Drosophila melanogaster: one gene and its partner. The gene in region 1 interacts genetically with each later gene. Each region holds a gene or a part of one and is shown on either strand. Other genes may lie near its edges.

Region 1 (3,734 bases):
TGGAGAAGTACCCCAAGTACCTCGAGGAGAACGACGCCAAGCTCTCCGCTGAGGACAAGGAAAGGTATGCTCGAAATCAACTCGCAATAAGATACTTTTATTGAGAAACCAATACATACAGGTACCAGAAGCAGATGGAGCTGTACAAGGTGATTGAGGGGCATTTACAGAGCGAGAAGACCGAGGATTCGGCCGCCGTGAAGCGAGAGAAGTTCCGCGTCGTGCTGGACGACATGCGCAAACTGCAAGACTACGGCCAGCCGCCGCCAGAGATTCTGGCCGAGACGGGCGGCGACTTGCCCTTCGGCGATCCCACTGCCGGCGTAGCAGCCGGCGGTCCCGGTCCCCAGTGCCCAACCATGTAGTGGCTGACGGAGCACGATAGTCTCGTGGTGTGCCAATTGGTTAACTGTTGAGTGTTGCACATTTTTTAGGCTAAGGCAAATTTGTATTTTATTTTATCACCGACAAAACAATACGGCGGTCGCTAATGGTTATCACCTCTCTCTTCAATCAAGCTATTATTTTCGTATTAACTGTTGGTTTATTAAGTAGTTCTATACCTAAATACAATGCCTCGAAATACACCTAGAGGAAGAAGCGACGTCGCGACTCCATGGCGTGCCGTTTGTTGCTGATTATCCAGGCATAGTCACCGGTCTTGCTGTCGAATGTGCCCTCCTGCAGGGAACGTAGTTTCAGGGTGAACCGCGGCCCCAGTTCGCGCAGCTTTACGCGTTTTCCCTCTTTGGTGAACTCGTAGCGGTGGTGACGGAAGAATATGTAATCTCGCTGATTGTGGAACGTCACCGCTCGGCGGCCGCGGAACTCGGGATCGTGATGGAAGAGGGCACCCAGCATGCGGCCCACGGTCAGACCCAAACGTGTGGTAAAATTGTTCAGGATCACTTCGGGCCTGTGCTTGGTTATCTCCTTGTGATCGCGCTTTATGTCCGAGGTGAGCTTCACGTTGGACAGCTTGAAGTGGGCAGTGGGACCATTGGGCAGATGAATGACCAGCAGCCCATTGGGCTTTCTGCGATCTTCGTTAACGATCACGACGTCTGTGAACTCCTCGCGCTCGGCGCTTTTGCATATCTTCTTCACCGACGACTTGTTGCGAATCTTAACCAGGGCGTTGGGGAATATGCGCGAAAGCTCCAGTCCAAACTTACGCGTCTTGGTCACCGGATTGTCAGCAAAAGTGATCAGCACCTTTGGCTCGTACGAACGTTCGAAGTACGAGCTGAAATCGTCCAGTTGGAGTTCCTTTTGCAACTCCTCGTTGTCGGAATCGTTCAGATTGGCCACCTCTGTTTGGTCCTTCTCTCGCAGGCTCTCTATGGTGTGACCAGGATTGGCGGGTACACCAGCCTTCCGTCGGGCACGGCGCTCCTGCATTTTTTTCTTGTGCTTCTCCTTCTTCATTTTTTTGTACAACGCCAAACGCTGCTCCTTGTTGCGCATCCAGCTGAGGGGATTCAAAACAGGAATTCGTGTCTTCTTGTCGTCGTCGTCGTCATCATCCTCTTCTTCGTCGTCGTCGTCATTCTCCTCCTCATCGTCGTCATCATCCTCTTCCTTTAAATCCTCACTGGCTTCCCCTTGTTTGGCCGTTTTTTTGCTGCTGGAGGCGGCTTCTTCATCGCTGCTATCAGTGACTGGCCCCTCCTGGACTTCCAAATCCTGTGGCTCCTCCTCGTCAAAGCTGGAATCGCTGTCCGAGTCCTGTTCCACGGGCGGAGGGGCTGTTTTTCGCTTAATTTTTATCATTATTCCGAGAGAATCACGAATTCACAAAAATGCGAGCGGCACGTGTTGATATTCTTCTTCTTATACCAATCACACGGAAACGCAGACAATCTGCTGTGTGGGGCAGTGTTGGAAAACGTGCCACTCACAACGTGTAGTTTGTAAACAAAAATATATTTAATTAAAATGGTATTTCGGGTCTTAGAACTATTTAGTGGCATTGGCGGCATGCATTATGCCTTTAATTGTGAGTTCGTCGATCATGATACATGCGAAACTAATATATACTTTTGAAGATGCCCAATTGGATGGACAAATAGTTGCCGCCTTGGATGTCAACACCGTGGCCAATGCGGTTTATGCGCACAATTACGGCAGTAATTTGGTGAAAACTAGGAATATTCAAAGCCTGAGTGTAAAGGAAGTCACAAAGCTTCAGGCCAACATGCTGCTGATGTCCCCGCCATGTCAGCCCCACACTCGCCAGGGATTGCAAAGGGACACGGAAGACAAGCGATCGGATGCACTTACTCATCTGTGTGGACTGATCCCAGAGTGCCAGGAACTGGAGTACATACTCATGGAAAACGTCAAGGGTTTCGAGAGCTCACAGGCGCGAAATCAGTTTATTGAATCGCTGGAGCGGTCGGGATTCCATTGGCGGGAGTTTATTCTAACGCCAACGCAATTCAATGTGCCAAATACTCGATATCGCTACTATTGCATCGCCCGCAAGGGTGCAGACTTTCCATTTGCCGGTGGAAAGATCTGGGAAGAAATGCCGGGTGCTATAGCCCAGAATCAGGGTCTTTCACAAATTGCCGAGATTGTGGAGGAAAATGTATCACCCGATTTCCTGGTGCCCGACGATGTCTTGACCAAAAGAGTGCTGGTCATGGACATAATACATCCTGCTCAAAGTAGATCCATGTGCTTTACAAAGGGCTACACCCATTACACCGAGGGCACGGGCTCTGCATACACACCGCTTTCGGAGGACGAATCCCACCGCATCTTCGAGTTGGTCAAGGAAATTGACACAAGTAATCAGGATGCATCGAAGTCGGAGAAGATTTTGCAGCAACGCTTGGACCTGTTGCACCAGGTGAGACTGCGCTATTTCACGCCACGGGAAGTTGCTCGTCTAATGAGTTTTCCGGAGAATTTTGAATTTCCGCCAGAAACAACGAATCGACAAAAGTATCGACTGCTGGGAAATAGTATTAATGTAAAGGTTGTCGGTGAACTTATTAAATTGCTGACGATAAAATAAAACAAAATACAACATATTTGCTTGCTTATTTTCACTTTAATACATTTATTAGCTAGGAAATTACTCTGCGCTGTTATCATTAAAATATTTATTTCAAATCCACATAATTTTCCCGCCCAGTGTTGCCTATGCCACAAAACGCAACGGTTGTGTGCTGTGTGATATTCCATACTACTTGTCAATTGGTCACACTGCACTGAATTAAAAAAAAAAAGAATATAAGTTTACGCAGAAAAACAATAATAATTGCAATTATCGCTAATTGAAAGAGTGCCAAAATGATACCAAAAAAGACGACGGTTAAGGATTCACACATTGTGAAAATAGCCGTGGAGCGAGAGGACCATATAGCGCAGTTGATAAATCTGGATCAAAGGCATCCGCTGGCAAGTGAGTAAATAGCGGATAAAAACAAAGATTTTTCGCTTGCTGAGCAGCAGTTTTAAAGAGAATCTGCTTTAAACATGTAAAACAAAGTTCCAAGAAGTTAATAAACCAGAATTATGTTGAAAGTAGCAAAGGAACCCATCATAAGGGAGGAACTTCCAACCAACGCCCTTCGCTATGTTTAAGTGTTATCGTGATGTCAGCGCACTCATTTCCTCTTTCTCATTTATATGCAAATCATACAATTGGTCAGGAAGTTGCTATTTACAGCGTATTAATGCCGCCTTCGCTTGCAGGTAAAATCCAGGAAATTTGCAATGGT
Region 2 (5,013 bases), on another chromosome or scaffold:
CTTTTTTCACATATTTTATAGCATTGTATTCTTCTTGGCTGTCGCTTTGACGTCATCGGCTCTGATCATTGAGCGCACTGAGGTAAGTCGAGAAAATCTATCCTCTTTTGGGAATAATTATAATAAAATTTGCTTACTTCCATTCCAGGGCTTGTTGGATCGCTCCTGGGTGGCTGGCGTCTCGCCCTTCGAGATTCTATTCTCGCACGTGATCACCCAGTTCGTGGTGATGTGCGGACAGACCACTCTGGTGTTGATCTTCATGCTGGTGGTGTTCGGGGTTACCAACAACGGCGACCTATTCTGGGTCATCGTGCTGACCCTGTTGCAGGGCATGTGTGGAATGTGCTTTGGCTTCCTCATCTCCTCGGTGTGCGAGCTGGAGAGGAATGCCATACAGCTGGCGCTGGGCTCCTTCTATCCCACCCTGCTGCTGTCTGGAGTGATCTGGCCGATTGAGGGCATGCCCGTGGTGCTGAGGTGAGTTCTTGTGGTATTACTCTGTTGTGAATGGAAATTTAAAAAATCTTATCCCCCAGATACATATCACTGTGCCTGCCACTAACGCTAGCCACCTCTTCGCTGCGCTCCATCCTCACACGTGGCTGGGCGATACTGGAGTCGGATGTGTACATCGGCTATGTGAGCACGCTGTCCTGGATTGTGGGCTTCCTGGTGCTGACGCTTCTCGTGCTGCGAGCCAAACGCGGCTAGGATCTTCAGATATTACGCTACTTTTAGATGCCTAACTTTAGAACACGATAAGTCGTCCTAATTAGTTTACACCCACTTCGGGTCTTCTTCTTAATTCCACTTTCGAGTTTCACTTCCCTTCGTATCTGCCCAAATGTCATAAATTATTTAAGCACATTCGCAGCTTTCCTTAGCTTTCCACTCGGCACTCGTTTTTCCTTAGACTAAGTTCCGCACTTTCGTAGTTTAAAGCGTAAGGTTTAGGTACTCCTAAATGAAATGTTGTAAATATTTTGTGTCACGAATTCAGTAATCCGTTGCTCTAGATGTCCATTATTTGCAACCCTCTGTACTAGACCTTTTCTCGACGCCGACACGGGCAGTTTATCACATACAAACGCAACTAATTTTATATATTTTCAATGGACTGTGATTGTTTTTTCTACATAATTCACGCGAATACACGTAGGGCAAGCCTAAACAAAAAGAAAACACAATGAAAACGAACAAAAACAATGGTGGGTTTTGTTATTAACATTAAGTAGCTTAAAGCATTTTTGTATGGGTTTAAGTTTTTTAAGGTAAAACATAATTAAATACAATAATGTACGCAACCCTAAAGAGTATGTAAAAATATATTTCAGGAAATATTTTGCGCAGAGCATAAATATTTCACAACGAACAAACATAAGACAATGAACAACGAACAAGTGAAAAACGTTCTTATTTAAGTAAATATTAATGTGAACGCAGTTATGTATAAATAATAATAAAGCGTGAATAAATAAATAAAGTTAAATTTAATTGTTGGTTTACTTACATTTTGAAAAAGATGTTCTCATTTTAACATTGGCGCCAATGCACTGTTACTGTTTTCTAGCATGTCCATAACAGTCTTTTAAATGCAGGAAATAACAACTCATTGTGACCAACTGGCTGGAATTTAATAAATATGTTATCACTTCTAATTTTCTCCAAAACTAAAAAGATAATTTAGCAGGTTAGTTCAAAATTTAAATATTTAACGATAGCTAACTTGAATACCAGGGCTGGTCGCTGGTGTTCCGCTTAAAAGCAGTTGTGCGCTCTGGTAACACTGGCGTTACAGCTGATTGAAATCATAACAAAAGAGCAATGTTTTCCTGTGTTGTTTATGCTTAAAAAGCGATTTTAGGCGTTATTAAGGACGCGAAAATGGACAAATCCAGGTCCAGTGCGTACGACAAGTTCGTTGGCTTCGTGGAACAACTGCGAAATACGGAATGCAGGTGGGACTGAACGGAAATTTGATTGTTTTCGGTTGCATTGAATGTTTTGGGGAGGGGACCGGCAACAGTTTGTTGCTCATTACGGAACAATATTGATTAAATTATGAAGCCCAGGTGATTTCCGGTGGTTTTATTGCCCTTAAGATGAACCTGCCAACTTGTTAGGCCACCCAAAACATTCATTCAACATTGAGCAATAAGTGCATCCGCTATGACGTCATGCCACATACCTGTAATAAAACTAATTTATTTCGAACCCCCCACAGCCAAAAGCAGAAGATCACCTGCTTTCAGCAGATTGCCGAGTGCATCATGTCGCCCTCGCTGGCGGGCCACATCAACTATGCCGCCCACTGCGGCACGGCCACGAATGTTCTGCTGCTGTTCTGCGAGGATGTGGATTCCGTGGTTCGGATGAGCGCCGAGGAAAACCTAAATAAAATACTGAGGTCACTCGAGAAAACCCGGGTCAGTCGCATTCTTATGGATCTGTATGGTGAAATTAAGCGTAATGGTAACCAGAGGTAAGGAGGCAAATATATTAAAGCTAAAATAACAATCTTAAAAAAGAAAAACTTTCTGCACAGATCCCTGAGGATTTGCCTAAACCTTTTCTCCTACTATGCTCCACAAATAAAGGAGAAACACATCAAGTGGTATGCCGTGAGATTGCTCCAATGTATGACCACCATTTCCCAGCGCAAGGAGACGTTGCTCCAGGAGACTCTTTGCGACTTCGTCAAGCACTTTAGCCGCCATATACAACAGGGTCTCAGCGATAGCGAATCCTGCAAACTGTTCGAGGTAGAATAATATCCCTAAACGTCTTTTCTTTTTATGTTTAAGCGTTTGTTGACTTTTGCAGACTTTTCTGGACCAAATTAGCTCCGATTGTGCCGTCAAGCGTCGTTGCTCTGCCCAAAACTGCATGAGTCTGATTGAGAATGCACGCAATAGGAGCCTCATGGCCAGACATGGGGTCAACAAAGTGATGGGTAAGACAGCTTAAATAGGAAATGAATTTCTGAGAGAAATACGAAAAATCCATATGAACACTGCATCCTTACTAGCAACTATAGCAAATGAGAAGTTCGTGAGTGCTGTTATTTACTATTAGAAAAGGAATTTAAATTCAGCAGAATGATACACTTGTTTCAAAACTCTAGGGTCAGCTGTTATTGTTATTTCGCAAAGAGTAACACCATTAAATTTAACAATATTGCAGCCTTAATAACAGCCTCTATTGTTTGTACACTTTTGGATAAACGTATTCACTATTCGCTGCTATCGCTGTTAGTTATTTAACGCATTTTCGCTACGACACTTTGTGTTCAACAGGACGCTCTTTATATTCACATCAATAATGAAAGAGATGTTTAAAAAGCGTGTAACGGCCAAATACTAAGCCTCGCATAGATCGTCATATATATACATATATTGTTAGGTTCGTGCTGGCTCTGCAGCTAAAAAATATTTTTAATATTCTAAAAAGCCGCAAATCCATGAAAAATACCTTACCAAAATGTAAAGCCATCGAACTGCGAACTACGCGAGCGCGGGAATAGATGGTTTTTGGTTTTATTCAAACTCGAATTGTGAATGCAATCACAGCCATGGGTTTGTTTGTCTGTGGCCTGTGGGCGCTAAAGGGGGCGTGGCACAATAAAAGTAACTAGACAGTTGATATAAATTATATTTCTACAGTGCTGTTGGTTACCATGCGCAATCGATGGACGAGCCATCGAATGTACGAATATACACACATATATTTTTTCCAGATTTGTTTTGATTTTAGGCAACGATAGCGGGCAGTTTTTATTTTAACATTTGCTAACTGGCGGACTGCAGCAATAACTGCAGCGGCAAAAACAAAAGTCATGGCAACGTGAGCCATGCGAAAATGCTTAAAAATTGCAAACACAAATCATTTTTTATTGAATTTTCATGAAAATATTATTGGCAAACGTCGACGAAGAGGTAAATGCACCATAGTTACGTTACATTTGCCATCGTCTTTTTATGACCTGCTGCATTGTCCAACAAAAAATTAAGTTCAAACCTCAGAGGAGCTCGGTGTTTGGCATTTGCAAACAATTGAAGTGATATACCGGACTGGGAAAACTAATTCATTTGCTAGGACTACCTTTATGGAAGTCAAAATTCTGACCTCGCCCAAGTTCATATAAATTAAGCTTCGGCTTGACTCTTCCTTTGCTCTTTTCTTGTCCAAATGTTTACCTTCAAATCAACTCCTTTAGCTCCTGTTCCGGTTTCTAGCTCTGCTCCTTTCCCTGCCGCCTACCGGTCTTCTAGTCCTGTGTCAACTTTATGCCACTTCTCGGCAAAGGCACAATGCCAGGCAACTCTTCAGCGCATCCTTATACAGTCTGGCGCCTCTTTTTATGGGCACCCATCATAGTACTTGGGCTGCCTGTGTTCTGGCATGCCCCAACAAACAGACACAAAGTACGGTGCTCAGACCTCAGAACTCAGAGCTCAGAGCCGGGATCCTAGATCCCAGACCCCAGAACACAGACCGCAGAGCCGCCCTCGCCCACGCCATCTCCGTTTGTTTGTCTCCCCGCCCGTAGACGAAATGAAATTTATGCACTTGGACACTTCCATGCAATAATTCATGCGAAATTGAATCAGATATTCATTCCTGTGCAGCTTTAAAGCGGATAATCAACGTTGTAAACAAATGCCGGCCGAACGAGGCCAGCAAAGGAAAGTCGGCAGATGCAAAGGGGAGCTGGCAAAATTTATGTTGCCCACTGACTGATGCCGAGCTAAACAAAAAGTGCAAATTATTTTCCATGGCAACTTGGTATGGCAGCACAAATGGCACAATGACCAATTCATAATCTGAAAACGCTGCTGATCTCTTTGAAAACGTACTCCATGGCCCCCAGATTGTCCACCTGGTCGAGAATGTCAAAGTAATTATTTTCATTTTGACTTCATTTTGGGCTTCTACGTGTATGACAGCTGCAAAATTAATTAATATTCAGCTACAACTGTATATTCGTTTGTGTGTGTTAAAAAATATCGA

What was found.
Region 2: of Mt2 (region 1) and htt, changing one enhances a phenotype caused by changing the other (phenotypic enhancement), as found in Drosophila melanogaster (one study listed by BioGRID).

What each region holds. Positions count from the first base shown.
Region 1 is NT_033779.5:12,094,648-12,098,381, forward strand, and holds Mt2 (methyltransferase 2), read left to right. Parts: upstream 1-1,877; 5' UTR 1,878-1,938; coding exon 1,939-1,999; intron 2,000-2,048; coding exon 2,049-3,025; 3' UTR 3,026-3,040; downstream 3,041-3,734. Other genes in the region: Pex19 (peroxin 19), read left to right, coding at 1-64, 122-365; CG6712 (uncharacterized protein), read right to left, coding at 589-1,773; Ced-12, read left to right, coding at 3,304-3,415, 3,709-3,734.
Region 2 is NT_033777.3:28,694,445-28,699,457, forward strand, and holds the start of htt (huntingtin), read left to right. Parts: upstream 1-1,797; 5' UTR 1,798-1,887; coding exon 1,888-1,961; intron 1,962-2,227; coding exon 2,228-2,485; intron 2,486-2,548; coding exon 2,549-2,765; intron 2,766-2,826; coding exon 2,827-2,956; intron 2,957-5,013. Other genes in the region: snu (snustorr), read left to right, coding at 22-82, 149-480, 540-714.